3 linked regions of the Lepisosteus oculatus genome follow. Each later gene encodes a partner of the first gene's protein in a complex. Links are inferred from orthologs where the notes say so. Each region holds a gene or a part of one and is shown in the gene's direction. Other genes may lie near its edges.

Evidence for each region. Proteins that work in one complex are often made in the same cells at the same time.
Region 2: the proteins of jarid2a (region 1) and aebp2 are in contact, whole or in part, in a cryo-EM structure (PDB 8VNZ), measured with the Homo sapiens proteins. The link is inferred for Lepisosteus oculatus from reciprocal best matches to the Homo sapiens genes JARID2 and AEBP2. Residues at the interface, in NP_004964.2 of Homo sapiens: Ser148, Lys151, Pro152, Lys153, Thr154, Glu155, Asp156, Leu158, Thr159; in NP_001107648.1 of Homo sapiens: Arg407, Ala410, Ile411, Asn414, Leu415, Glu420, Ser421.
Region 3: the proteins of jarid2a (region 1) and eed are in contact, whole or in part, in a cryo-EM structure (PDB 6C23), measured with the Homo sapiens proteins. The link is inferred for Lepisosteus oculatus from reciprocal best matches to the Homo sapiens genes JARID2 and EED. Residues at the interface, in NP_004964.2 of Homo sapiens: Pro109, Gln114, Arg115, Lys116, Phe117; in NP_003788.2 of Homo sapiens: Pro95, Phe97, Tyr148, Arg306, Asn307, Tyr308, Cys324, Asp362, Ile363, Trp364, Tyr365, Arg414, Asp430.

Annotation. Positions count from the first base shown.
Region 1 is NC_090705.1:16,312,975-16,322,570, forward strand, and holds the start of jarid2a (protein Jumonji), read left to right. Parts: upstream 1-5,466; 5' UTR 5,467-5,990; coding exon 5,991-6,035; intron 6,036-9,596.
Region 2 is NC_090702.1:49,794,932-49,805,086, forward strand, and holds the start of aebp2 (zinc finger protein AEBP2), read left to right. Parts: upstream 1-6,316; 5' UTR 6,317-6,434; coding exon 6,435-7,021; intron 7,022-10,155. UniProt on the Homo sapiens protein: Acts as an accessory subunit for the core Polycomb repressive complex 2 (PRC2), which mediates histone H3K27 (H3K27me3) trimethylation on chromatin leading to transcriptional repression of the affected target gene.
Region 3 is NC_090710.1:28,191,688-28,201,671, forward strand, and holds the start of eed (polycomb protein eed), read left to right. Parts: upstream 1-6,145; 5' UTR 6,146-6,265; coding exon 6,266-6,367; intron 6,368-8,392; coding exon 8,393-8,545; intron 8,546-9,208; coding exon 9,209-9,301; intron 9,302-9,984. UniProt on the Homo sapiens protein: Polycomb group (PcG) protein. Component of the PRC2/EED-EZH2 complex, which methylates 'Lys-9' and 'Lys-27' of histone H3, leading to transcriptional repression of the affected target gene.

The DNA of each region.
Region 1 (9,596 bases):
TAATATTATTTACATTTTAAATAGTGAGAAGAATTGTTCAGTGTTTGGCTAAAACATCCTGATAAGTTTTGGAATCCATCTAAGTAGGATGCCAGGACCAGAGGTGACAAAACAGCCCTAGAGTGTAACAGATTTCTGTTCTTTCCTGGTCATGACATTCTTTTTCAACATGAGCTTCACTTTTCCCTCCTAATTAGAACTCTGGTACAACTGTCCAGATATGTAGTTTGCGATTTATCCAACCGCATAATTTGGTATCGTTTGTCTTGGGAGTGAGTTAGTTGCTTCTACATATTGATAGAATTCTGTTGCAGAACCCCCGGTCATAAGGAGTCTTGGAGGCGTGGTAGCCTGATAAAGACTGTTCCCTAGGTTTTGCCCTTGGAGCCAACAGCACATTTTGGTAAAACTTAACTTACAACAGCTTCCTTTTGGGTCTGCTAATGAGACTTTCACTTCTGTGTTCAGCCTCCCTTAATACCTAGTGCCAATCATGGCGAATTCAGGAAGCTTCCATGAAATTTAAATTTCCACAAATCTCCTTAGTCTTTGTGAAACTACCAACAGACTGCAAACCACATAAAAGGAATAAATTTACAAAATGTATTGTCTAGGTATTTCAAGGCATGAATAAAAATGAACATTGTGAATGCTGAAATATAGTACTGTAATTATTTAATTTTAGTAATGGTTCCTGAGACCCTGTGTTGGAGGAGGGGAATTGTTTTCATATTTTTCCATGTCATACTCAGGAATGAGGGAAACTTCTGGAACACACTCTCATTTAAGTTTGAAAGCTATGTTTGTAAATGTTTTATTTGTTAAAATAAAAAAAGCAATAAATTAAAATGCAACATAAGCTTAAATTAGAGTTTGCTTTTTTTGTTATTAGAACAACATACAGAGACATTTCCTGCTCATACTGAACTATTAAACTACTATTTGTGTTAATATATATGTTGCTATCAGTACTAAAGACAATAACATCAATTTTCTTTCATTGCTGAAGTATTTAAAAGATGAAGTATGTGTGACAGTCACGGCTTCAAACTTGCTAATCATTTGTGTTCCAAGTTTTTCACCTTCCATTATAAGTAGATAAAAAAGCATTTAGTCTTAAAGCATTCATAATTAAATAAAAAATGTATGTCCAGATAATTGTTTTGTTACATTGTAATGTTATTTAGTGTGTTATACCCATTTACAGGTTGTCAATCGTTCTCCTACAGAAAGTGAAGTGTACAGCTCTACTGTTAGGCTATTTTGCTTTCTCCAAGTGAATTAAGATTAGTTTAGATTTCTTACTGAAGAAACATCTCATTGCTACTAGCTTCCCAGCACCCCCCCTTGTTAATGATCATGAATAAAAACAGAAAATTCAGTCCACCTTTGTGTACAAGTGGTGTCTTGGCATCGGCCTTTTCTTTAAATTCACAGGCATGTTGCGCTGTCAGGCACTGAGAATAATGCAAACTGAATGTTTGCCAAACTGAAAAAAGCAATTCCTAAAAACATTACGGCATGAAATGAAAAACAAAGCTGATGTAGAGAAAACCCACACTGTGACCTATGCCGTGAACTTGAGAGGAGGATGGTGGGCAAAAGGAAAAGAACTGGACACTGAAGTGCAATTAGAATCAAATGTGTCGGGCTGTCCAGTGTTGTTAATCAGCTTTGCAGTACCTGATTCTCTCTGTTTCAATTAAGAGAACTGAATTAAGAGATCCAATAGTTTTCTTTTATCGAAGCTCTTCTCCTGTGTGATACCCATTGGTGTGATATGTCTGACAAGAAAACAATTTAAATAGGCCTGTATAGCGGAATGGTACACCCTTTACGCCTTTCAGCAAAGCACACAAAACAAGTACAAGACACAAAGTAGAAGCTTTACCATTCATTGAGGAACACCTCAACAGCTGTATCACCCTGAAACTCACAACTCACAAGTGGCAACAGAGTGAGGCCCTAAGCAGGGGAGAACCTGGTCAGTACCTGGATGGGAGACCTCCTGGCAAAAAGGTTGCTGCTGGAAATTGTGTTAGTGGGGCCAGTAGGGGGTGCTCACCCTGCAGCCTGTGTAGGTCATCATGTTTCAGTATAGTAATGGGGACACTATACTGTAGAAAAGGCACCATCCTTCATATGAGACTTAAAAGAGAGGTCCTGACTCTCTGTGGTCATTAAACATCCCAGGATGTCTTTTGAAAAGAGTAAGGGTATTACCCCAGTGTCCTGGCCAAATTTCCGCCTGGCCTTTACCAATAATGGCCTCCTAATAATCCCCATCTATGAACTGGCGTCATAACTCTTTTCTCCTCCCCACTGATAGCTGTCCAGAAAAGCACTATATAAGTGTAAAGAATTATTATTAACCCATCAACATACACTATCATCTGCATCCTAGGGGGCACCACCTGTAATATATTAGATAAGGGGTCTCAAACTCAGTTCCTGGAGGGGCCTGTGTCTTCTGGTGTCTGGTCCATCTAAGCTCCCCATTCCAAGTTACACTGACACCCCGGAACTGGGCGCTAATGCCAGTGATTAAGCACAGGTGTAATAATAATAGGATTGCAAGAGAAGTAGCAGTTTTTAATTTTATCAACTCATTTTAAAGGCATCATTTCTATAGTTTTAAAGGTCTCTTTACTACCACTCCATCCCCATTACTGATAATGATATGCACTGTTTTGGCAGGGTTGCCAACCTGCAAGGTATTGTAGCCAACAGTTTCACCAAATAAAGGATACATATTCTTTAAAGAATTGTAGGTTTTCACTTGAGTTTCTAGTACTGAGTGTAACACCAGTTTGCCCCCAAATCAAAAAAGCATAAAGTGTTGTCATAGCTGTAGATGTGCAGAAGCAAATATCCAACTTCAGATCATATCCTACTTCAAAATATGGATTTTAGGACCTAATATTTTGGAGAGAAGGCAGCTCCAAACTCATGCAGCTTCCTGATGCTGATGCTCAGTTCTGCTCCATGTCTGCAGCTCTGCATGAGGAGTTCTGACTGACTTGTCCCCGTGGCCAGGCTGCACCCACTCCGCTAAGCAGAGTTACATCAAAAAAGAAAGCTGGAATCACTCTGGTAGGCACTTTAAGCTAAGGGGTGTTATCCAAAACTACAATGATAACACGTATGTGTAAAGAGACAGTCGCAAATCGGTCTTGATTACACTGATTGATTGGATCAACAGCAACATCCTGCTGGTGCAGTCAGGCTAGATGTATTCGGACTGAGCACACGGGTCATGTACACCAAGCACAGACCATCATTGCTCATCTTCAATACCAGGGGTCTCCTCCTAGCCCTGGCCTTGGAAAGACCCTTAAGATCCAGAAGGAAGAGTGGGTAACCACTAAAACACAGGTTTTGTATCATTTGGAAGAACTGAATTATGATCATTTAAGCAAGTGCTTTGTCAAATTTACTTATTTACAAATCACTGACAACACGATTCTGAATACCCTTCAGTTCTCTGTTGTAACTCTTCCCTTAATTGAGTGGCTTGCTTGCTTAATTGATCAATATCTTACTCTTGCACCTAATTGTTAAAAAAAGGAGTAATTTGTGGGTGATGCTTACGACTTACTAGAAAAAGGACTGGTTTGGGGTTGTAGACCCCAAAATGAATGTGAATACGTTGATCTCCAGAACTCCCACAGTAAAGGCATGAACTCTGGTCCCAACAACATTTTGTATATTGTTATTATTATGATTTTGATATTATATATATATTTTTTAAATTATTGCCTTGTCAACGTGACACACCTTTGTAATTGTTACCTCGGACATAGACAGATCAAACTGGGGTAAAGTTATTAGTGGTGTTCCACAGGAATCTGTACTAGGACCACTGTTCTTCTTGATTTTTTATTAGTAGCCTCGATTTTGATCTAGAATGAACAAATGTCTTCCCTTCATTTTAGTATGGAAGCAATAACGAAGTTAAACAGAATGTTAGAAGTTACATTGTAGAATTTAAATCAGTAGATGTTGTTCTAAAATTGAGCAATCTAGTAAGACCTCATTTAAAAATTTAGGTCACTAACTTTAAAAAAGATCTCGCTGCTCTGCAATCAGTCCAGAGAACAGCAACCAGATACAACTGTCTTGAAGGACAGTTCTACACTGACAAACTTAAGGAACAGACCCCTTTTGTCCTGAACAGAGGAGACTATGAGGGGACCTTATTCAAGTAATCAGTATCCTCAAGGGCTCAACTTAGTGAACTTCTTCAGAATGAACGGTGAAACATGAACCTGTGGACACAGGGAGGTACATTTAAAACTGAGAACAGTAGGTACTTCTTTCCACAAAGGGCAGTGGGGGTGTGGAACAACCCATTCACATTGTCGAAGCCAGTGCCCCGGATTCTCTGATGGGAATGAGATCCTTGGATCAGTTACAGCTACTAGCAACCAAACAAACTAGATAATGTCTCCTCGCGTTTGTAACTGGTCTTACTCTGTAATTGAGTTTTGCTGTAATACTCAACGCCCTTTCTTGAATAATTGTCTAGGTCTGTGGAACTCGTTCTCTCCAGTGACAGACAGAGAAAAATTACATTACTGTCTGCTGCTGTGCATTGCATGGTTTAATTGTATCATGTGCTGGGTATACTTGTGATTAGAATCTTCATGAGGGAGGGCGTACAGTATGTCAAGCACTCTACTCTTTTAACCCACGAACGGCTGCCGACGTTCCTCCTGGTCCTTGTGATTCATGTCGGACTTGGAATTAAATGATTAAATTGAGATAACGAGTTTGAAAGTCTTGGATCGATCATACAGTATTCTGCTCGTAAACGATTTAAGGGGAAACGCGATCATTTAATTGTATTTTTTTTTATTTTTAACCTTATCTTTGTTGGATTACCTGCAGACTTCCCATCTGGGTTCTGAGGTGGGCTGGAGTTATGCACCATTGATACAATCTTTTTAAGCAAGTCTAAAGGTTCATGAATCCACACTTTAAAAAAAAGATAGGTCAGACAGCCGTACTAACGAAAATAAAGCCTAACTTACAACGCCGCTGTTCACGGTTTACAAGAGTTCCCTAAAACGAAAAGAGAATACAGTGAGGTGTGTAACTAAATCAGGTTAATAACATTCCTCTCGAGTTTATTAAGTAAACAGAACACAGGGGGCGCTACTTTCATTACTGAGAGGTCTACGTCTGGCTTTAACTTCATACACCAAGCCGTAAAAATGCATCTTGGCCACCAATAACCATTATATCATGCTTGTAAGGTACAGCAACGGCAGTGTGTTTGTATATGTATACATGTGTGCTTTTAAATATGCAGATTCCTCCCCTCTGTACATACACAGAGCCCAGAGCCGGTGGCAGGGAAAATTGTGCTTCGAAGAACGAAGTCGGTTCATGATTTGTACCCGGTCCCTAATGAGCGAAGCCTTTTAAAGTTACCGCTGCGCTGCGCTGGGCTGCGATAGGCTGAGGCCGAGGAAGAAAGAGCATTGCTCAGTGCAGATTAGCAGTGCTGCTGGAGAGTTCAGTCATCTCGTCTGCGAGCTCCAGCCGAAACGTGACTGCGAACCTTTTATTTATTTTCTTATCTTTAAATCCCCTCCCCGAACAAGATGTAGCTTCCAGCAGTACGCAAACGCCCACTAGAATACGCTTCTTAATTTCGCGACACTCGGGGAGAGCGGATGACGTCCTATTTTTTTTGCTTACGAATGGAAGATATCGTGAATTATTATGAGTACGTTATATCGGAGCCCCCTTTTTCTGTGATTGTTTTTCCTGCGTCGTGGATTTCTAACTTGGGATTTACTATCAAATCGAGGCGAGTCCCTGCTCCGTGAAGGCAACGACAAGGAATAAATACGTACTCCCCAGATCTGCGTACCGGGGATTTAAATAGTCTTTGGCGTGTTCTTCAAGAAAAAGCATAAACGAGGAAAGGGAAAAATTCATGTGGCAATTCTCTGTTTAGCAAACACGACTTGGATCGCAGAATGAGCAAGGAACGACCCAAGAGGAATATTATTCAAAAGAAATATGTAAGTTCATTTTTTTTCTGCTGCTGTGCGAGGCAGTGTGGGGTTTTAAATTGACCTTAACAAGTTTCCATGTCCTCTCCGCTTGTTGTGATTAAAATGCATTGAGAACTTTGATCTCGGGCCGATTGGATTGAGTCCGCTGGCGTTTTGCACGTTTTTAGTTATGTAGAAACGTTCCCAGCCCTGGTTTCTAGGTAAAATGTTTTTATTTGCAAAGGGGGAGTTCATTTCGGGTTCTCCGGTGGCTGGGTCTACCGTGCAAATAAGGCAGCCTCGTAGGGGGATCACATTACAGCGTTGTATTTGTTTAGATGATTTTAATAATCAGGCGCGGCGTTACCTACAATAACATTTATTTTCCCAGCAATTGCCATCTGGAATGGCTTTGTTTGTTCCTCATATTCTCGTAATTTTGAGCCGTGCACAGACAGCCATAGCTGTAGGTTGCCTCTGGCTCTTTCCGGGTTTAGCATTGCCCGATGCCATTATCAATTTGTTAATAAACTATCATGTTGTCATCGATTTACTGTGGTTTCACAGATGTGCTCAAGGGTGGGAGCATTACCGGAGAGTTGTAGGTGATTTTTTTAGTTGCGATTAGCGAGGACCACGTTTGCAGAAGTCAAGGCCAGTAGACTGGAGCACGCACACACGGGCAGGGGCTGTTTGATCTTTAATTTCATCGCCGAGACTGGGGGAAAAAAAGGCCCGTTTTGCGTTTTGCCTTTAAATTCCCTGGCTGCCGTGTGGCAACACTGCAAACTTCGCAGCCGTGAATCCCCATGTTTCTGTTCCCGGCGATTTGCAAACCGGTTTTATGGTTGTGGAAATGCACTGTGCGAGTTGTTTTTGTTTCGTTTTGCACGTTTTCTCCGTGTGACCTCTGAGTGGTTGTGAGCAGTCGCCGCAGCCGGGGCTGGCTGCCACGATTATTTCAGGGTTTCTTGGTAAATTTCGTGAAGCACGGAGGGGATTTGGGTTTAATCGTTTTAAGAGATCCGCGTTAAAAACACGCCGCGATGTAACAGTAGCTTTGATTAAGGCGCAAAGGTGACATACTGGGGATCGTTTTAAGAAGGCAGTAATTCCAGTCGCATTGCAGAGGTTCATGTTGTGCGAGAGAACAGCAACCATTTTATCTTTGCAAGGAAGAATAAAAACTACGGATAATATAAACCTTGGGCTCAATCACTAGGAGTGTCGGAAGCAAATCCTTGGCACGACGTCCTGTAGTTATATTTTTTTCGGACGAAGTAGAAGGTTGGGGGCGAGTTAATGCTAAAAAATTAATAACAAAGGGGTTTCTCGTGTCGAGTTGCTAGGCACATTTCTGTAACCTTATTTAGCATTTTAACCCCTAACTTTCTGGACTTAAGTCAGGATTCTGTGTGGGTTTGGGGGTACTATATTCTGAAAATACTTCACTTTTATTCCCCCCTATTTATGTTTTCTTATAGGGCCACTTCTTTTGTCAGTAGTATAAATGTAACCATCATGAGGTACTGCAGGAAAGTAGCCAAGGTTTTTGGAGTTCACTGAAGTCACACGTTCCGTTCATTACTTAGCTGTGGCCCGAGAGCGTTTCTTTATTTTTTTTTCTTGAGCCACGACGCTAACTCTTCAGGGCAGACAGCATGGCCTCTCGGTTTTTTTTCTGCTTTTCAGACGTCTGTACAGACTACGTTTAAAGCAACAGGTCAATCCTATCAATTTCGCTGGGTCTGGGGACAGATCACATTTTCCGGTGTCGCGTTGGCGTTTGCGTGGCTTTTTTTGTTGCAAATGTTGGCATATGGAGAACTACATATTCCTCACTAGTAATATTGAGGAGGTATGATCATGGTTTATTGGCAATCGGGAGAGAGTTGTTTGTGGCTCAGCGTTTCAAGCAAATTTCCTTGTAGTATGGCATTTGTAGTCGTGTGCTGTCCATTTAAAAACTTCTCCCCAAAATAAACACAAATTTAATAAACCTCTACGGGCTACAAGCATGAGGAAATCATTTGTCTGAGGCTTTTAATACTTATGAATGAAGTCATGGTTTGGCTCGTGCGGGCATTTTTTTATTGCAACGATAATCACATACAGCATCAAGCAATAAAATCTCATTTTCCATATTTTTAAGTATTGTAGGAACATGAGTTTTGCTAAAATGTGAACTTACTCGACGTCTGAGTTGTAAAGCTGTAACAGGTGATTTCTTTAAGCACAAAAGACGAGTGACAATCGTTCATCGTTTTCTTTGTGAAGCGTAATGAGGTCTGTATTTTATTGGAAGGTATACATCGTCCCGAAGTTTTTCAGATTGCATCTGTTATGATACAGGCTAAAATAGGATTGGAGTTGTGATGACTGAGGAACAGCTCACGTTTTAACTACAATGTAGAAGCGAATTTGTCTGTCCCCTCTGTGCTGTCCCTTCGGAGGGGGGATGGGGGATGTGTTTGGGTCTAAAGTCTTGGAAAGACGTGCTCACGCACCTTGGTTAGACAGTATGAGTTTGCATAATAGGTTTGTGAAAAATAAACCAGAACGGCACTCTGACCAAAGAGGTATTTTGCACTACGAATAAAAGAGCACTACCTAAGTTAAAATCAGTTTTTCAGAAATCCTCCTTGTGGTTGTAGGTAGTGTTGCTGGAGTGGAAAACTCACTGCTCGAGTTGGAGGCTGGTGAGGTGATTATCAGATCGCCAGTTACACGCTTGCGCACACGGTGCACGTACGCGTACGAGTCCTGTGCCTCGTCCCTGTCCCTTGGATCGATTCTTGCACTGTATTTACAAGACACTGGCGGTGTGCTCTTCAGGCTGTTACACAGTCTGATCGTTCTTTGGTTTTATGCCAAAATGTTTTGAACAATCAGAAGCCACTTAAAGCCTGGAGATATAAAGGGGCTAACTGATGTTTTGAACGACTCGAACTTTCTCCGATATGGATGAAATACTTGTGGTGCTTTTAATTGGTAAGCTTGATTGGTGCGGTGATTTAGATAATAGCTCTAGATGTTGAGATCTGGGTTAGAGACATGGAGTGTTTTTTAGATGTTCCTTTACAGCAATTAAATAAATGGAAATTCCACAGCAGTAAGATTTGATCCTGACTTTTGATAACTGAATATGGTAACTTATCAATATGATATAATACGTGCTTAATTCCCAGCCCTGTCAAGTTGAGATTGCAATTTTGTGACCTTCCTCTTTTGTACACGGAAATGGTATCAGTCAAGCAGAGAACCGAGTACCAGTAGCCTGTTAAACCTATCAGAACTTACTATTGTTTAAATATTGTATTTTTTGCGTGGTGATGTCTGGGGTTGGTGCAGCAAGTGAGATATGAAGGGTCTGAATGTACACCTGTTTTAGCAAGCTAGTTAACCCATTGCTTTCCCACAGGATTTACTCTAAAATAATTTCTCCAGTTCCTTGTGATGGAGTCAGCCTGCAAAAATACAGTGTGATGCCTTATAAATGTGAGCCACTTTTGTTCTCCACTTCAAAAACCCAACAGAGGGCGTTTCGGACACCTGGGTTAGTGACGGGATCGACCTGTGTCGATATGA
Region 2 (10,155 bases), on another chromosome or scaffold:
TCTGACACCCAAGCATGCCATGCAGATCCTGATTTGAAAACTGCACTTTGCGTAGGCACACAGCACAGCCTGCCTAATTACCAGCAGTGTAATAGCCTTCTATTTAGATGCATCCTTTTCTCTCACACACTTATCTGCAACCTCACCTCTTTCTCTGACTCCTCTCCTCTGCCCACGCAATGTAGCAGCACTTCAGGGGAGTCTCCCACTCCCACTGCCACACAGACCTCACACTTAATTACATCACTTGCCGTCATTTACTGTATCTGCACTGTGCTATTCCAGTACCTAACCAAACTCTTCAGCAGTGCTGTCAAATAAATACCATTTACCACTGCACGTTCCTCTGAAAAAGCAAGCCCTCTATTAAAAACAAACAAACAAAAAATGCAAGTACTCTTCTGATCATATTCACAAGATCATGACAGCAAAATAATTAATGGTTGTTGTTGCTAGGTTTCCATCTGGCATGTACACCTTTAATATACTGCACCAAACATTATTTTAAAGGCTCCAAATAACATTTCCCTACTATTGTCAATACCGCAACATTTTATGAACTGTTTTTCTCATTCCTACAGTGTTAAATAGCCAAATTATTATTGTTATGCTCTCAGTATCTGTATCATGTGTTTTCAGCTCCCGTTTCATACTCGGCATGTGATGCTCATCTTGCATAGATCTGAATGACCTTTGTTTTGCACATTTAGAAGCTCAATCTCACAAAGGCAGCATTTCTCTCAATGGATGAATGTTAGGTTAGCTACAGAAAACAGTCAATCTTGCAATGAATGGCTGTGATTAACCTTTTGCATATCTAAATATAAAATATCATTTGGTCTGTCTGATTCCATTACTGTCGCCCATTCAAGGAGTGCTTCACGGATTTAACAAAATCTTCCTTTTCTACATCCGTGTGGACTATGCCCCAGAATCCTCTTAGATAACAATGACTTATCTTGGATTCACGCTGCCTGTTTATCTAATGTAACTGAACAATAACTGTTTTATTTCACATCTTTCCTTTCTTCTTATAGTATATCCAGCATTCAGGCTGGTCACCAGGAATAGGAAGGAGGCAGGATTTATCCTTCAAAATGAGTCAACACCTTCACAATTCCCAAAAGGGAGACTATATTTGTCATGAACTGTACCAGTAATGTATTTTAATGTATATCCATTTAATTTTAAAAATGAGGTTGTCGAGAATTCATGGCTGAGCATGAATTCCTGCAATCAGCTGTAACTACTACTATTGCCTGTGAAAAAAAGCCCATACACTTCTACCTGACTTTTCTTTTAAATTAATAACTATTTTCTTGTCCACACATATATATATTACATCATTTATTTAGGGTAGAAAAAAAACAGATTTTACTACTACGTTGGACTGCAGTGACAGTACAGGGGCTACTGTTTCTCATGAAAGAACAAGATCTTTCTGAAGTAGCTGTCTAATGAGAGCCTTTTTCTTCCACGGCAACAGAGTGGAAAAATCACTGAAACCCAGCTTTAAAGCTGAGAGGAGACAGCAAGCAGTGTGTTTTTAGAACAGGCACTGCCTTTATATCCCCACCATTAAAATAAATAACAGAGCCAGACCAAGGTTCTGAGAAGAATCACTGCACCTCCTAGTGGTGAGAGCTGAAGACTGATTTCTTACCCAGTCTTACAGACTGGGGCTCAGACCAGCTAAGCCAGGAACTTGTCCCTTTTTAATAAGCCTTTTATTTCTGTTAAGCACCAGCTCTTAGACGAAAATTGCAGATTGGTTTTCATGCCAATGAAAATCAGTCAGCAGGGACCAGCAGAAGAGAGTTCAATTATATTTCTTTGAACTCCACTTTCCTCTACCCCAGGGTAGCTGAAGAGAAAAATCTTACAACTCCACGACACATTGGATTTTTACATATTCTTGTGCAGTACAGATTTCATCTTACTTTTTAGGATGTAGGAAACAAATAATTCTGACACATACATTCATCAGTTCAATCATAAAACAATTTTCTAAATCAGGGAAGCATATCTGAACCTAGTCATGAAATTTATGGCACAGATGTTGATGTGCTCTGACCATGTGGCAATTAAAAAGGTTTACTCAAGAAACAGCACTTCGGAACAGAGGATATCAGTGTGTGTCGCCCTGATACCCCTCCCTCATGTCGAATTACAGTATATTGTATTGGCCGTGTGCCAAGAGATAGAGCTGTGGAGCTGTGATGCCCTGGAGCTCCACAGCATGTTTGCATAAGGGCCTGCCAGGAACTGTGGCAAACACTTCAAGTTATTGATCTGTTAGCACTGTGGTGCTTGTCCTGTGTGTATGGGTTCTTCTTAAATATGCATGTGTACCAGCATGCAAAGCAGCTAAGGGCAGTGTGTGTGGGAGGTGGCTCCTCACAGGGGTCATCGGTATTTGGGGGAGGGGGGGTGGTGGTCTCGGCACCCTAGGAGGGTGTGGTGAGAACTGCAACAAGGCAGAGCTGCAGAGTGAGCATCAAGCCTTTGCAAACAGCAGGGAGGAGTACTACATCGGCACCAGAGAAGTGGGAGGAATGATGCGGCTTTTTCTCCTGTCTGGCACAGAGAAGTGCCGGGGCACTGTGGACGACAGCCTCCAGTGCCCAGGAAGATAGAGGAGGAGGCAGCGAGGGACCCCAGCCCGGCAATGATCCTCGAGCCGAGGCACTGTCAGCATGACAGGGCCGGGCACAGCAGATCCTTGTGGATCTAGACAGAGAACAGGCCTTCTGTTATCAGCTTCTACTCGCCACACTTGAGCACCTCTTGAGAAAATATTGCCAGAGGCCGGCCGGGTGGAGGAGGCTGGAGGTGTGGAGCCTGAGATCCCTTGTAGCAAACCTGCAGCACTTGTTGAAGCAGAGTGATCCCGGAACGGAGGCAGAAACGAGGTGCCGGTGTTTGGCGCATTCCTCGGGGGACTGGGACTGGTTGGATTTCGTCAGCAAGTCGCCCTTTCTGAGATCACCAGTCTGGGTGAAGCGTATGCTGTTCAAGTCTGGGTCATCGTTTCAGAACAGGCCGAACAAAGCACTCCCCCCGAGTTCTGGTCAGCTGAGACACAGGAAGCAGCAGACAGCAAGGCCATGCCATGAGGCAATCACAAGACAGTCTGGGGAGCAGATGCTGGAGGAGTGGACAGAATGGCCGTCTCCAGTGGCAGTTTTGCCACCCTGCCAAGTAGACGCAGGAGAGCGCGAACAGGGCACCTGAGGCGAGGGCTGGTCGGCTTAACATCCCAGCCAATCCCACAGCTGAAAGACTGTAGAAATATTATAGGTGGCGTAAGGCAGTGAGGAAAATAGCCTGCACTGTCTAGATTTACACTGTATAGATTTCCAGTGCATCTTTGGGGGCCTGCAATGCAAGACACTCATTTATGTTGTTTCTGCCTTGTCAATGATAAATCCACGGACTCTGCCTATAGGGGAGAGAGGAGAATGCAGATGCTGGGCAGACATTGGACTGAGGTGAAGGACAACTGCCATTCATGATGGGCTCAGGAACAACCGGAGGTTCAGCTGCCAGCCCTCCCAGAAGCAGATGACCACCAATTTCACATACTGGTAGTGCAGACCAGCAGTTCCCAGAACTGATCCTGGGAGGTCTACACACCTGGATTTTGTTTCTGCCAAGTCCTCAGTTACATAGTTGAACCCTTTATTGATTTAATAATATGATTCACTCAAACTGTTTTGCTTTAACTTCTGCATTTCACAAGCCACTCAAACGTTTGCAAACGTTCCAAACAAGCACATCAATAGATCAACTAAGGCTTGAATAAAGTAAAGAGATTGAATAGAATGAAAACATGTAGGTGTGTTGGCTTCCAAGATCAGGAATGGGTACCCCTGGAGCAGACAGACAGGGGAGCACACTAACTCTATAGCTTGAACATGGCCCCAGCAGCACCTCAGGAGCCTCGCAGAAGAGGAAGGCTGAGGAGGTCTCCTCAGCACAAGCTGGGAAGTCGAGTCTGATGTGAGAAGACCACTCTATGCCCTCATCCAGGGCTTCAGCTGGACTTGCCTCCCCAGGGACCAGAGCATCTGCCAAACCAGATGAGGCTTCAGCTTCCAGAAGCCTGAAGGACAGGTGGTCCAGTCTTGACTTCATGACTTTGAAGCGGAGCATCGCTCTGGAGTTCAGCACCTGAACTTGGAAGGTCCTGCACATGGGTCCTGAGAGCAGGCAGAAGCCCAGAAGGAGTTGTTGGGGCCAGCCGCCACTGTCAGCACCCCTGTCCTGGGCTTAGCGTTGAACACAGAGGGGCTGTGACGCGAGCTGGGCTCTCTCAAGTAGAGAGACTCGTCGCACCCTGTGACACATCGTCATCACTACCTGCAGACGCAAGGAGAGGCACTGCCCACTGGTCATCCTGCGAGTGCTGAGGAAATGCTGTTGCCGGTAGTCCATGAAACTGAACCCGAGGCACTTTGGGTTGGCTACATCACACTACACGACTTTTACTAGGATTTTCAGTCGTAGCCTTCATTTACATGATCGTAAGAAAATCACAGCGAGTTGGAGAGAGTCGCAGTGCATGCCCGTTTCCGTCAGGTATGTAGTGTGACACCCCAAGCGACTCAGTTATAGCCCCTACGACACTCCGCGACTCCTACGATATCAAACAGGTTTGTTTTTCTCGTAGCCAGTTGCAAGTCACAAGTAGGGGCGGGCTCTTGTGTCTGTGACAGTCACAGCCAATGAGTGCTCAACCAGAAGTACAATGCAGACAACGCCCACAAACAGTGAAGAATTATGCAGCTGCAAGGAAAGAAGGAAAGCGAGTGTTTTGGACTGTGCAAATGGAGGAGAGGCTCGTCGAACTCTGGAGCCAGCACAGATGTCTGTTTGATATTTCGTGTTTGTTCTTAGCTTTCGTGCGGTGCTCCTCCTCTTATTCCGGTGTGCTCCACGTTGATTGGCTACCAAAACGAGGCAGCCCCGTGGTACTTTCACAGCGCAGTGCGAGATTTGGAACCGCGACGAAAAGTCATGAGGGAATCGTGTAATTAGTCACACCCTGCGATTCCTAGTCGTATAGTTTGACACCCTCTAGGACAGCAAAGGCAGTGAGATTTAGCAACTGCAGTCGTTAAATTTGACTTGCTCTCCGACTAGAAGTCGTTTCGAGTTCTGTTGTGTGACATGCACTTAGCTGCTGCCATGGGGACACTGGACATTTCTGCAAGAGCAGGAGGCTCTTCCTGGCCACTGTCATGCTCCCCTGTAACATTATCAGGAGGGGGCACTGAGGAGCACTTCTCATGTTTTGCTGGGGAGTGTAGGAATGCCTTGAGATTGAATGACATCCAGCCTAGAGTTTGTTCTGCTTTAAACCCTGTGTTTCTGGGTTAGACTTAAAACCACAGGAACCCATACCGTTAATTGAAGACTTAATAAGAAAGGTACTTTTGCTCATGCCATGAGCACTGATCCTCCTGATGCTCCGTGTTGGAAGTCACTGTGGGATACTGAAAGAACTATGACTCAAAGTACCACAATGCACTGCTGTTCAGGTACAGTAAATAGTCTTTGCCGATTCTGAATTGACACTCAGTCATTGCTGGATGTTCTAACAGGCAAATGTTACACCACAAAATTCAACATTGTTACTGACCTTTTCAACCAAACGCGGTTAACATCTTAAAAAAATAATATACTTAAGTTTGAAAAGTAGGTAGAAGACACTTAAGAAAATCACCCTGAAAAGCTGTAACATTTTAAACTGGGGAATAAGTTGTTTTGATTAATTACCGTTTGATTATGTTTTTTACATCAAAAGCAAACTCTTATACACAAACACAACTATCGGTGAGAAGAACGGAATCATCCAAAGAAAACACATTTTAAAATAAAAACATCTAATCTAGTCTCAGTTGAAAACTTTAAATGAATAAGGTAGTTTGCTTTTTTTCAGGGCTTCTTTTACTTTCTCAATAATGTTAAGTAGACAGCAGTCAAAAAAAAAAAGCACAGGTTCCTAAAAGCCTAAAAGCATTAATTGGAAGATTAGTCATAGCTCTGTTAAAATGAAAGCACTGGTACAATCAAGCTCTTCTGCAATCACTAAAATAACCATATAAGTAGTGGCCTTTTCTGTTTTGGAATAACCTTTCAAACGCATAACGCCCAAAAGAGTTTTAAAGAAACGAAAAGCGTGCCTACAACCTGTGCAAGGTCCAGATGTCTACGCACCCTTGGTGCAAAACGAAGCTTGTAGTACTTTCCAGAGCACGTGTTGGCGTTTTGAATGAACGTGAACATGTGTCATGACGTCACTGACCACCTCCTCCTCCACCGTCCCTGTTTCAACCTCCTGTGGATCTACTGCACTCTCTGTTATGTGTGTGTGTGAATAGCAGAGACAGACGCAGGGGGGGGAAAAAAAACAGACATTTCTCGCAAAGATGGCTGCCGCTTCCACCGATAGCGCCGAGCAAGATTCCCCATCACCTAGCAACGAGAACGGGGCGCCGCCGACAGGAGAGACCGAGGACCAGATGCGAGGCCTGCCGCTGCCGGGACAAGAGCCGGGTGACGGGCAGGCGGTGAAAATGGAAGAAACGAACGGCAACCGGGACAGGGAAGACGACGACGACGAAGAAGAAGAAGGAGAAGGAGGAGGTGTGGACGTGAAACCCTCGTCTGCAGCCAGGGCAGCCGAAGCATCAGGGGCGCCCGGGGACGAGGAGGAAGACGAGGAGGAGGATGAGGAGATGAGCTGCGAGAGCGCCGCGGGCGAGGAGAGCTCGGAGCAGCGGAGCCCGGCGAGCAGCAGCGACCCCGGGGACGGCGCGGAGAAGGAGCTGAAGCCCGGACAAAGGGAGGAGAGCGAGTCCGGCTCCAGCGACTGCAACAAGAGCAAAGGCGAGGATGCCCCGGAGAAAAACGGCAGCGGGGAGAGCGAACACGGGGCCGCCAAGAAGCGGAGGGCCAGCGTGGAGATGTCATCGTCGGACGGGGAGCCGCTGAGCCGCATGGACTCGGAAGACAGGTCGGTGAAACTTCACGGGGGAGGGGAACACACCCCACAAATTCAACAGGAAAGGCGAGCCCGCTACAGTTAGGTGATCTGCCCTCCCTTCGCCGGCTCGATGGCATCGGCGGGGGCATGAAGTCTCTCCAACTTGTGGAAATTGAGTTAAAACACAAAATCACAGGTCCTGCCCCCGACCGGCGCTTTAGTTTTGCGCATAAGAGCCCTTTTTTTTTAGTTGCTGATTTATAAGCAGGAGGGTGCACGGTACCATCGCCCTCTGATGGGCTTTTTGGCTCGTTCTCGTGTGCGTGTTTTGTACCCGTAATGACGCCACCCGTGGGTCGCTTTTCGCCCGTTTTCTGTGCGAGTTTGTCCAGTTCAATTTTTTTTTCTCTCCTCCTCCTGCGGATTGAGCGTCGCGCTCGGTTTCGGATGGGGGGGGGCATGACGTCTTAAAACAACGGGGGGGACGTTTTAAACCCTCGCACAACCTCCCTGCGTGCGAAAGGGGATTTAAAATTAAAATCTGTTCTGTATGTCTTTCTGGAGGGGGTCAGTTTGCCCCCACAGTGAAAGCACACGTGTAGCTGACGTGAATGTGAATGGGGTCGGGTGCAATATGGACGGACGGTGGTCACTGGGGCTGATGACGATGCGAGAGGCTTACAATTGAAGGAGGAAAAAAAAAACTGAACCCCCCCCCCCCCCCCCAGCACCGAGTTATCAATGATCCAGTTGATCGGCACCCGTGGGTAAGGATGGTGAAAGACGCAGCCAGCTCGCCATCCGAGTTTCTGCCCCGTTTCAGTGGCCGCATGCTTGCCGTGTCGGGGGGTATGGGTGCCATCTCAAGTTTGCAAACGATCACCGCGCCTCGCTTGCCGTGGTCGTGATCTCGACAGATAGCCGCCGTGGTTTGTTGTTGTCGGTACCATCGGGAGCCTTGGTCGTTAACGTGGCCCGGGAAAAGGTGAACAAGGGCCGTGGAGGATGAGCGAAGGTGCTTAGACGACCTTGGCCTCCGGATTCGGTTCGGGAAAAAAAACCCGAACAGGTGGTGGTCTGGGGTGGAAAAAAAAAAACCACAGTATTGGGGGAAAAACTCGGACCAGGTTAGGCTATTTAAAAAAAAAAAAGGCGAACGACACGTTTTGATTTAAAGCATCGTGGACAAAATAAAAATGAAACGCAGTGTGATAGGACCTGAAGTCCGAATTTAGGCTTCCCTTTCCCGCGGAGCAAATGTAACTTTATCCAGTAAAATGCACAAGATATTTCAGGACCAAGATTATCTCGCACCGAGTTGAGGTCGTGTGGAGTTCAAAAAGCTTTAAACCCGTACGCCCCGTGTAAGATTAGCAACGTGAATCGTTCACATTTAAAGAATATTTTGGTAGCGTTTTAATATTGTTGTACACGTTTTTTTTAAAAACGTACACGCGTCGTTTCTAGTCTTTATGGGCGCATACGTACACCAAGAAAGTCGCTAAATATCTAAGTATAGAGAAGGTTCGGTTGGAGTTTTTTTTAAATTATAATAAAAAGCTTAAAAAAATCGCTGAGCTTTTGTTGTCTGTTGGCACATACGTTCTTGCTCAGGAAAGAGAGAGGGGAGATGGGGTTTCAGTCCAGAAAAGAGATTTTTTTCCCCCAAATGTTGCCCATTTATTTAGTTGTAACTTGCTCTCCCTAACACCATAGTTTGTATAGTAATTCTCCATTTTATGACTAGCCAAACAAATGTAATTGCTGGAACGTAGTGTGTCGCCAAAGTGGTGAAAAATACTTTATTTTACGTGGTTTAACGTCGTACTTCACTGAAATAGCACAGTCTTCGCAATTCAGACTAGTGTAATACAGCGGACTCGGCCCATTTGCTTAGCCCTCTCTGTGGTGTCCGTTCTTGAGGAAATTTCATCCATGAGTTACGGTCATAGCAGGAATATGAACGCATATCCCTTCTTTCCACTTCTCATTTTCCAGATGGCAAAAACTTCAATTCCCCCCCTTGCAAGTAGGCTTTTGTTCCCACTGTCATTATCATAAACAAAAAAACAACAACAACGAAATGAAGACAGTGTGAGCACGTCGTGTAAAAAGGACAAGCATTGGTCTGTCTTCATTATGCGATTGGGATCATTAAAGGATTTGCATTTAAGAGCTCCTCCAAATGTCGTAAGAAATGAAACATTAAAAGGCGGATTAAAAACGCATTGCAACTGTTGTTGCTCTCCTGTTGACATTGTTACAACTTTGGTCGATTTAAGAACCTGTTTTGTGTTTTGCTTAATGAGAACGTCAATTCCATTACAATTTTATTCCTTAACACCTGTTCCTTTTTCCTAGCTATTTGTATGCACATTTATTTTTTTAAGTGTTTTTAACCCATTAGCTAATTAGGTTACAAAATAACCAATTTGACTCATTACTTCCCCTTTTTGGTTTCCACAGTGCTTAAAAGCTCCGCAGTGTCCTTAGTCAAGTCAGTAGGCAGTAAAAAAAAGTCCCCTCGTTTTTCTTTATCAATAGCGACTTAACCTACAGGTCTGGGTTGCGGTTGAAAACAGTACTTTATAGAAAACACAGAAAAGACATGCTGTGCAGTTATTAGGGGAGTGATTTGATTAAATTTTACTGGGCAAAAGGGTGAGAAAAATATGTTTTAGCGGTCCAATCGCATTCTTTCCAGTTTCCAAATCACAGCTGTTTACGAAGTGATATCTCTGAAGGAATTGCTTGCTGCCAAGAGTAAAAAAAAAAATGAAATCGGAAAGGAGAAAATGCTGTTGGAAGACTTTGTGTTATAGGTGTGACTGGAAGCCTTCTGCCTGTGTTATCTTCATCAATCATTTCTAGGTCGGTTGTGAAATGCTAAGGCCAAAATTTTGCCAACTCTCTTTGAAGTGAACATTCCTTTAAACGCTTTCCTGCAGTCATATAACAAGTGGGATAGGTGGTAGTTTAGTCAATCGAAATCTCACAGACCAGTCTCATGGTTAGATTGTTTTACAAGTGTTTTCTGACCGTGTGTCCTCAAGGATGTGTATTTTAAAGAATGTTTTCACTTGCAATTGACGGCTGTTTCAACTCACAGATATATTTGAACTTGTTTGCCTACCCCCTTGAAGCAAAATAAGTGATACACACAT
Region 3 (9,984 bases), on another chromosome or scaffold:
GATTTTTAATGACCACAGAGAGTCAGGACCTCGGTTTTACGTCTCATCCGAAGGACGGCGCCTGTTTACAGTATAGTGTCACCATCACTATACTGGGGCATTAGGACCCACATGGACCGCAGGGTGAGCGCCCCCTGCTGGCCCCACTAACACCTCTTCCAGCAGCAGCCTTAGTTTTTCCCAGGAGGTCTCCCATCCAGGTACTGACCAGGCTCACACCTGCTGAGCTTCAGTGGGCTGCCAGTGGTGAGCTGCAGGGTGACATGGCTGCTGGATGGCTGCTCAGTTGCAACTGAGCTCCAGTTGTAAAGGCAACATTGATCGTGTCCTGAGACTCCACTAGTTTTCCTTCCTGTGAGCTCATCCTAACTTGACAACACGCCAGTGATGCACGTCCTCTCGCTGGTGACACACCTTTTAGTGATGAGAATACTTGCAGCTGTAGGCCATGCGGCGGTGAGGTGGTCAGCGTTGCAGCCTTGCAGCGCGGGGGGCCCCGGGTTCGATTGCTGGGGTGCTGTCTGCGTGGAATTTGTGCGTTCTCCCCGTGTCCGATGGGGTTTCCTCTGACTGCCCAGAAACAGACAGGTGGGTTAATTGGCCTCTGGGAAAGTCGGCCCTGGTGTGAGTGTGTACAGGTCTGTGTCTGTGTGTGTGCCTGCAGTGGAGTGGCGCCCTGTCCGTGGTGCACCCTGCCTTGTGCCCTTCGTTTGCTGGGACAGGCTCCAGCTCCCTCGCGACCCTCAGCTGTATCAGTTGGATAGCGTGAGGCCCTGATGAGCTCCGACGCTCCTGCATCAATTCCATCAAGTTCCACAGCACCTTCCACACGTGGAAGGAGCTCGTCAGGGCCAGGCTTATCAGCCTCATTAGGGAACCTCAAAGACTATTAAAACCCTGGGGAACCATTCCTCAAGGCTCAGACATTTGAATCTTTAACTATAGTGGATCTTACGGGTCCCTTGGGTCCTCAAATCATGCCCCCCCCCCTCCAATTTTCAGTCCTCCAGTTCCAGTTTCCAGATGCTCCCACTGTTAATCACCCATCAACGCTTCCTCACTCCACCTCAGATCCATCTGCCCCCTCCTGCGCACCTCTCCTGCCTGCTTCACCTGCGCATCTCAGTGGTCCACCACTCCTCCTCCGATTTCCATTTATTACATTATTACCATCCCCTCATCCAATAAACTCCAGAATCTCTACCGCTGGTGAGATTAATCTGGCCACGCCCTTTTTTCCATCCTTGGGCCCGGCGTAGCGGTTAGAGGACGGAGAGGTATTTACGCCACGGATGCCCCTGCTGTCAGGCCTGAAGCCCAGGTGAGGGAATGAGCTGGGAAGACGTGTGGAATCCGGCGCTCAGAGACCAGTGAACAGGCCCGGGTTTGTCTGGGCTCTCTGAGAGGAAGGGGGCAAATCGCGACAACCTCGCATCTGAAACTTGGTTGAAAGCTTGTGTCATGTACATAGGTACAATGTGCAGTGCTCCCAGTGGCAGCCCCAAGTGTCACTAGCCTGTGTAGAACCCCTGTGAACCATCCGCTGATGACAAATGTCAGTCAGTATAATGAAGCTGCTGTGGCCTGTAAGTACGATAAGAACTCTGTGCACCTGCTACAAAACCAGCTTTGTCATTTTCCTGATAACTTAGTGAAGTTGTTGCCGATACGACCAATGCATTTAATTTGATGCTCACATACAGCAAATGCTTATACAGTATAGATAGCTTTTGATGCTATGCATATACAGCAATTGCTTGTGTTAAAGTAAGTGCAACAACATTAGGAACAAGTGAAAAAAAAAGCTCATAACCATTTTAGCTTTTGACATGCAACGCTTGATTTGGAACAATCTGGAGCTGAATAGCTTTGCGCAGTCTGACAACTCCTTTGCAGTTTGACGATGAAGGAATGTCACTTTTCCTGAAGTTATTAGATGGAAGAATGCAGTACAGAGCTGATGTCAAACTGTTTTAAGATTTTTTTAAAACACTCAGTACACCTTTGTGTACACAGTGTATTTGATTAGAGAGCAAGATAGAAGATTTTGATAAAATACTTCCTGGTACAATATTTTAAAGGTCATGTCAAGTCCGTAAACATTAGAACAGACATTTTGTGTAGGTTGTGGTCTATACTTTCCATCATCATTATTATTATTTCTGTTTTTTTTCTGTTTTCTGTTCTAGATAAACAGGCTTCCTTCAGGGAATCATAAAATGTCCTTATTGCAAATACACTATTTTACCTCTTTTTTTTCAAAGTAAGAGGTCCCTCAGAGATCAGTTTCCCCAGAGTGTTTATGTGCCATTTACATGGGTGTTTGCATAAATGGAACAAAAGAGAACCTTTGGTGCACCAGAAAAATGATAGTGTTTCATGTGTTTCAGCACAAAGAAAGAAACAGACAGTAAGTCTACGATTATTGTAGTACCTCCCAGCCAAACGGTAGATTCCTGCATGAGAGCAGGACACTGTAAAACATCAAGGATGCTGGGGGGAAACAGGTTCAAGTAAGGAGCTGCATCAGTGTGCGTTGCCTGCAAAGAAATGAGTAAAGAGTCCTTCCATGCTGAAACATAGAAAGAAATTCAAACATTTCAGCTGTTGAGCCTTTTTCAAGGGTGAAGTTGATTCTAAAAACAGTTCTTCTGCCTCACACCTACATCAAAAAAGAAGGTTGTCTGATTGTCCTTTAAGCACTTAATGGAAATATGTAATAAGAGTTCCATAGGGCAGTTTGTACTCGTGGTTTGTGCTGTCCACAGCACAATCAACCTCTGTGACTGAGGTTGCTGACACTTGCTTGTATCTACCAGCTGCTGACTCGAGGTCTGGGTGAATTTTGGCTTACAGAATTTTCAATCGTATGCATTTGTGTGGTGCATGCAGTATTGACTAAGGCTAGAGCCTATCAGGGCTCTCAGTAGAGAACGCATTCCCTTATCACTCCTGATTTGTAAATTCTGTGTCTTAAGGTTAAGGTCCTTTGGATGAGACGTAAAACCAAGGTCCTGACTCTGTGGTCATTAAAAATCCCAGGGTGTTTCTTGAAAACAGTAGGGGTGTTACCCCGGCATCCTGGCCAAATTACCCATTGGACTTTACCACTAATGGCCTCCTAATAATCCCCATCTCTGAACTGGCTTCATCACTCTGTTCTCCTCCACACTGAGAGCTGGTGTGTGGAGAGTGTACTGGTGCATCATTCATTCCCCATTACCTGTAAAGCGCTTTGAGTGGAGTGTCCAGAAAAGTGCTATTTAAGTAGCTCAGACATTCTGCTAAATACATCTACAACATTGGGGGTTCAGGGATAAGGGAGGGAAACTAAGTGGGGTTAACATTTAAATTTCAAAGGTAGCAGATAAAATGTATTTCAAGTTGGACATGTATTCGCTTATCACCAGCAGATGTAAAGATAGTAGAATTAATGTGACAGTTTCGATTGGGTTTTTTTTTTAGAGATAACACTTCTGGCATTACTAGAAGGGTGTTAAAATGAAACGTTCTTGAGATGTGAAACTAATTCGCACATTAGTTTCAAACACAATTTAAAAGCAATAGGCAGCAGCCACATTTGTTAGCCGGGACAACTACATTTGTGCATGAGGCAGGATTAAACCTAGGGAACCGACAGCAGGATCTTTCAGAAACCAGCACTGTAAATCTCTGGATCACTCAAACCTTTATTTTAAGACCTTTAAGAAATGACAATAAAAGAGAGTTTTAAAGAATGATGATAGTTTGAGAATCGAGAACACAATTAAAAAATCCCCTTCTACTACCAAATAGGTGGCAGAACAAGATCAGAAGAGCCTGATTCTGAAAGCTATGATGGCAGAGAATATTTTCAGCAATACTTATTCTATATGAATTACCTTCTCTTTTGAGAAATCACACTTGCTTCTGAGGTGGAATTTTTTTTCCTGACATTATTGACAGGATTAATGATGAAGCACTATTCTGGTTGAGCACAGTTTTGACGATATTATTTCACGGTGCTATTCAAGGGCAAGAGAACAACGCCACTAGGTGGCCGTTTCTCAAAATACAGCTGTCAATATCCTTATTGTTCTCAAACTATTCTGTGTGAGTTGTCATCTGCAATCATTTGATTTATCCCAGATGAAGCAAATGCACAGTGGACAAACAGATTCAGGGAATAATATATACAAACTACAATCACTTGACAATCCAAGAAAATTGTACATTTTAACCAATTAAGAACATAAACCTAGTCACTAACTGCACATTATATACACAGAAGTAAGCAATTAAATGACTGGCTCTCTAAATGATCTTCACATTTGGAATTACTGTTTGTTTGAAATGTACTGTAATTCTAACCTGAAAGTGTAATCACAAGAGGGAGAAATGGGCATGACATGAACATCGGCAGACTGCTCTTTTTTCTGTCAGACATTCCCGGTCCTGGTCCTGCTGGTTGTGTCCCAGCTCAGCTCTTGGCTACACAACTGAACCCCTAACTGACTGCAAAATAAGATCAATTTGACCTGGCTGCCTTTTCCTCAAATTGTTCTGTTTTCGAACTGCAACCCGTTCAGGGTCAAATCCCACCAATCACACCAGGGCCAGTTTTCCCAGAAGACCATGAACTTCCCAGCCCTCACCAATCATGGCCTCCTAACAATCCCCCTCTGTAAATTGGCTTCATTACTCTGCTCTTCTCCCCACTGAGAGCTGATGTGTGGTGAGTGTTCTGGCGCACTATGGCTGCCGTCGCATCATCCAGGTGGGGCTGCACATTGGTGGTAGTGGAGGGGAGTCCCCATTACCTGTAAAGTGCTTTGAGCGGAGTGTCCAGAAAAGCGCTATATGAGTGTAAGCAATTATTATTATCATCCAGGTGGAGCTGCACACTGGTGGTGGTGGAGGGGATCCCCATTACCTGTAAAGAGCTTTGAGTTTTCTTTTTCTTTTCAGCATGGAATAAACATAAGTTTTTGCTTAAACCTATTACTTGTACTTTTCGCAATTCAATTGTTGCTGGATTGTTTTTTAACCATGTTCTTAAGAAAAAATATCTTTTTTCACGCTGTTTTTTCTTATTTTACCCCGAATGGTCATATTTTATTTTGACAGTGTATCAACCAAAATTGAACAAGCTCTCGATATATGCTGTACATAATGACCTTGATTGTTTAAACCATTTGTTCAATGAAGATATGACAAAGTAAAATGTTGTGTGTGTTGTTAAATAAGACAAATAAATAAAAAAAAATATTAGATAGATGAAGACCAGATCTCATTTTAGGAGCCATTCATGCAGAAATCCAGATAATTCCTAAGGGTTCACAAACTTTTTCTCACAACTGTAAAGCCTCGAACTGCTTATCAGATATCAGACACAGTGGCGCTCCTTGACTTTTTTTCCACAAGGCATACAACCACTGCACACGCAATTATGTACATATTTGCCGAGAGGCGCTAAACACATTACAAATTATGTTGTCGGCTGTCTGTCCTTGCCACACAATACGTGCCCCTTAAAACATTTACACGGCAAATTAAAACAGAACAACTAATCTGGGTGCGATACATCACAAATACTAAAATAAATCGAAAATCTATCTGCCTCCCTTTTCCCCGCGGCTCTTCGAGTACCACAGCTGCCGTGTCGCACACCTGAACGGTACAGCGAATCTTGTACATTTGTTTCTCATTTTAAAGAATTATCGGAAAATAAAAATAAATCTACAGCACGTCACCGTCCCTCACGTGTGTGAATTTCATAGTGATAAAACCTTGATGTTCTTAAGTGTATCAATAGGAAAAGGCACAGAGTTTGGGTCACGTAGCAGTAATCATTTTAATATCACTAACGTGGAACCGAGGGGAAAGTGCGACAGTTATGATCACTTTACGGGAGTGTGGCAAATCTGTTGGATAAGTGGTCTGTTCTGGTTCAGACATACTGGGCGGGCTGTATTCCATTTATTGTTGGGACTACACAGGTTAAAAATATAATAATGGTCAGATTTAAAAAAAAAACAGCAGGTCAAGATGGACATTCCTTAAAACCCTGTAGGCTCGCGCGTTCCGCTCGGCGGCGGCGAGGGGTTATGACGTCACGCGCCAGCGACCACCCTCCCCAGGAGCGCGCGCGCGCCTGCAGTTTTCCGGGGCGATTCGGCCATTTCCAGCGCGCGTCTGCAGCTCGAGCCGAACGGTTTGCGGCGGTGTGGCCTCGCGCTGGGGGGGAGGGGGAAGTGGAGGAAGAGGAAGAGGAAGATGAAGGAAGATGTCTGAGAGCCAAGCCGAGGCGGGAAACGAGATGCCGTCGAAAAAGCAGAAACTGAGCAGCGACGAGAACAGCAACCCCGATCTTTCGGGGGATGAAAACGTAAGGCCGAGCTGAGCGCTTCTAGAGAGAGCGGTGACTTCCAGCGTCGGGGATGCGGGCGGCGTGAGGTTCCCCTTGACGCCCGTGTCTCGATTTTAGACTAAAAAGTTGGGTGTAAAAATGGGTGACTGCTGAACCACAGCAGAGGCCCCGATCTCTGTGCAACAGCGTGAGCCGCTCACCCGCGCTGGCGGCGTTACAGCTGCTGCTGTAGTCTCGGTTCAGAGCTGGCTACTCCTGGCACGAAATTATATTTTTGCCCGGCGATGTAGAAACGGAACGGTATTTCCATCAGGAATATTCTGTTCGTCGTGCGGCCGCAGACACAAGCTCCTAGTTGTCTTCGTTCGGCGCTCTTATTCTCTAAATTTGATATTTTTTGGGGGGTTTCATGTTTCTCGTCAGATCAAACTTATTTATATTAGTTCGATGTGTTTTTTTTCTTCTAACGCGAGATACAGGGGAGATTCGCGGTGCCCAGCCTCAAGGTGCCCGTTGTCTCCCCGTGCGGTCGGTCACCACTCCTGGAAAATAACGTTACAATCCTGCTAAACAGGTCGTCAGAAAGCAGTTAACGTGCCGAAACCTTCGTTACTTCAGACCTTCTTCAAAATGCTTTTCAATGCCAATACCGTTTAAACCGGTGGCTTAAAATACCATTTGTTTTGTGTGTGTTTTTTCTTTGTAGTACTTCGTTTCGGTTGTTTTAAGAAACAGTCAATTGAAGGGTGAAGGACACCTTTACTGCAGCAGCGCTACAGAATTTATCACTCGTCTCTAAAACACGTCACCAAAACGAACCGCTCACTGCCGAGATGGCGAGACGCTCAGTAGAGACAGAGCTCCCCGGAGACATCATTGACAGTCTGAGAAGGAGACTGGGCATTCAGTTGTCGGGCTGACGTGCTGTTTTCATTCAGCCGTACGTGTGATAGAGGATTTCGTGTCGTTTTTAGCTGTTACGGTCTTCAAAACGAAGACGGATGTTTTCAGTGTTAGAAAATGTGTAGCATTTTAAAGCAAGGAACGGGTGAATGCAGGGTCTTCCTGTTGAAGACACAGGTTAAGGAGCCGCACGTTGAATAAGCTTGTAGGACGTTTTCGTCTTTCTTTACATAGAACAGCCTTGAAAATGGCCCGGAAAATTCCGATGAGTTTTCAAACTCAGGGTACGAAAAAAATCACATGATTGCTGTTTATTTTATCAACATACACGGTTAATTCAGGATTTGAGTGTGGCTTTTGTGCTGGGAGCTGGAAATTTCTTCAGACCTAGTTGCCCTTATTGAGGTGCAAGAGGATTAAAATGGGTACTGGGATTATATTTTCTAGAATATTTCATCGTTTTTTAATGTAATGGTCGACACCCGGTTGGATTCGAGTATTTGTTTGCCATTGCATCAATGGAAAACGTACTTAAAATGTACTGAATGAGGTTTCTCTAGCGTGCTGCAATAGAAGAATCAATCACTCGTTTGGTTGAAATAAATACAAGGTGGTCAAGTGACTTCCTGTTGACTTTGAAGCCGGGCAGGATTTTAACCCTGTTCTTAAACTAAACTTTGTTAATTTGTAAACTCGCTCATCTTTGCCATGTGTAATACCAATCAGACAAATCAGTGAAATTGTTCAGCTTTTCAGTCTGTCTTTTGGCAGGAATAGGGAGCAGCCGATCGGGATTTCACATTTCCTGAATTTGGGCATTACAGACCAGTTTTCATCCCAGGTTACAAAGCTGAATGTACATTTTTAGTTCAATTTCCGGTCAGCTTTCGGAATCTTTCCCTGTCTCAAAGTGTCCCATTGTATGCAGAGTCCCATAAATTACAATGCAGTTAATTGTGAGGATCAACAGTCAGTCTTCTGAGGGTTATCAGTCTCAAATCTCCCTTGCAGATGGTTTTATTTATTTGGTTTTATTTTTTTTCCACTCCATGGCATTAAAATGATCAGTGTGCCACGCTGGATGTGTGGCGGAAAGTGCCCCAAGGAAGACGCTGCCACTCTGTGCTGTCTGTGTTGCAGGACGATGCCATCAGTATAGAGAGTGGGACCAACACCGAGCGCCCAGACACCCCCACCAACACGCCCAATGCCCCCGGCAGGAAGAGCTGGGGCAAGGGCAAGTGGAAATCCAAGAAGTGTAAATACTCCTTCAAGTGCGTCAACAGCCTCAAGGTGAGTGTAGCCACAGGAGTGTGCTGAACTAGCTTGTGAGTGTATGAAGTAGGAGGACTGGTCTTTTCCCAGTTTCGGATGAAACGAAAACCGAGGTCCCGAACCTCTGTGGTCATTAAAAATCCCAGGGCGTTTCCCGAAAAGAGTAGGGGTGTTAATCCTGGTGTCCTGGATACATTTCCTCCAGGCCTTTACCAATCATGGCCTCCTAATAATCCCCATCTCTGAACTGGCTTCATCACTCTGCTCTCCTGCCCACTGAGAGCTGGTGTGTAAAGAGCTTTAAGTGGAGTGTCCAGAAAAGTTCTATATAAGTGTCAGGACTAATAGTATTAACAGTTCAGAGAGGTTCGACATGCACTTGGTGTTTTGGAACGTGACATGGAGCTGTGCTTTCACAATTCCCCTAAACTGTAATTTTTAATGCCTGCAGTGCAAAGGGGATGCTTAATGGACATATTTAAAATGTGCAGAATGTGAATAACCAAGCAAGCATCTTTCCATTATGCATGCTTTCCTGGTGGAAGGCACTTGAGAATGAGAGCAGTAGGATAATTGAAAATGGCGGAATAAAAGGAGCCACCAGTCTGTGGTCTGCCTGATTTGGAGAGCTGGTCTTCACTTGTCTCTCCCGCCTCATGGTGCCATTGCTTTGAATCGCAGGAGGACCATGGGCAGCCTCTGTTTGGGGTGCAGTTTAACTGGCACAGTAAGGAGGGAGACCCCCTGGTCTTCGCTACAGTGGGAAGCAACAGGGTAAGTACCTGCACCAGTTATGTTACCTGTGCAAACAGCAGGACACTTTCATGGCTATGGTTACAGTATGTTTAAGCTGGTGGGGAATATTTCTAGGGTCTGAATAAGGATCTGAATTATTAACTGGTGTGATCAACATACGGGGCAGTGTGGTGGCTCTATGGCTAAGGATCTGCGCCTGTGGCTGGAAGGTTGCTGGTTCATATCCTGCAGCTGGCAGAGGAATCCTACTCCGTTGGGCCCCTGAGCAAGGCCCTTAACCCCAACTTCTCCAGGGGTGCTGTATAAAAGGCTGACCCTGCGCTCTGACCCCAAGCTTCTCTCCCTGTTTGTGTGTCTCATAGAGGGCAAGTTCGGGTACAAATTCCTAATACAAGAAATTGTATATGGCCAGTAAAGTGATCTTATACTGCAGTGCTTTTCAATGTCAACCAAACAAGTATAATTCAAATTAGTGTGAAGTTGCGGTGAAAGCTGTGATTAAGCAGATGACTCAGCTCGGGTACTGTTTTCACTCTATAAATATATTGGCTGTGTTTACCTACCAGTAACAAAAAGTCAACAAATAGCTTGTATAAGTTAAAAGAAGGTTTCACAGTTGAAACATTCTCTTTTCTTTTCCTTTCAGCATGGAATAAACTTTTACCTGTTAAAAGAGAAGCAGTTTAACGTCCACTGTAAAT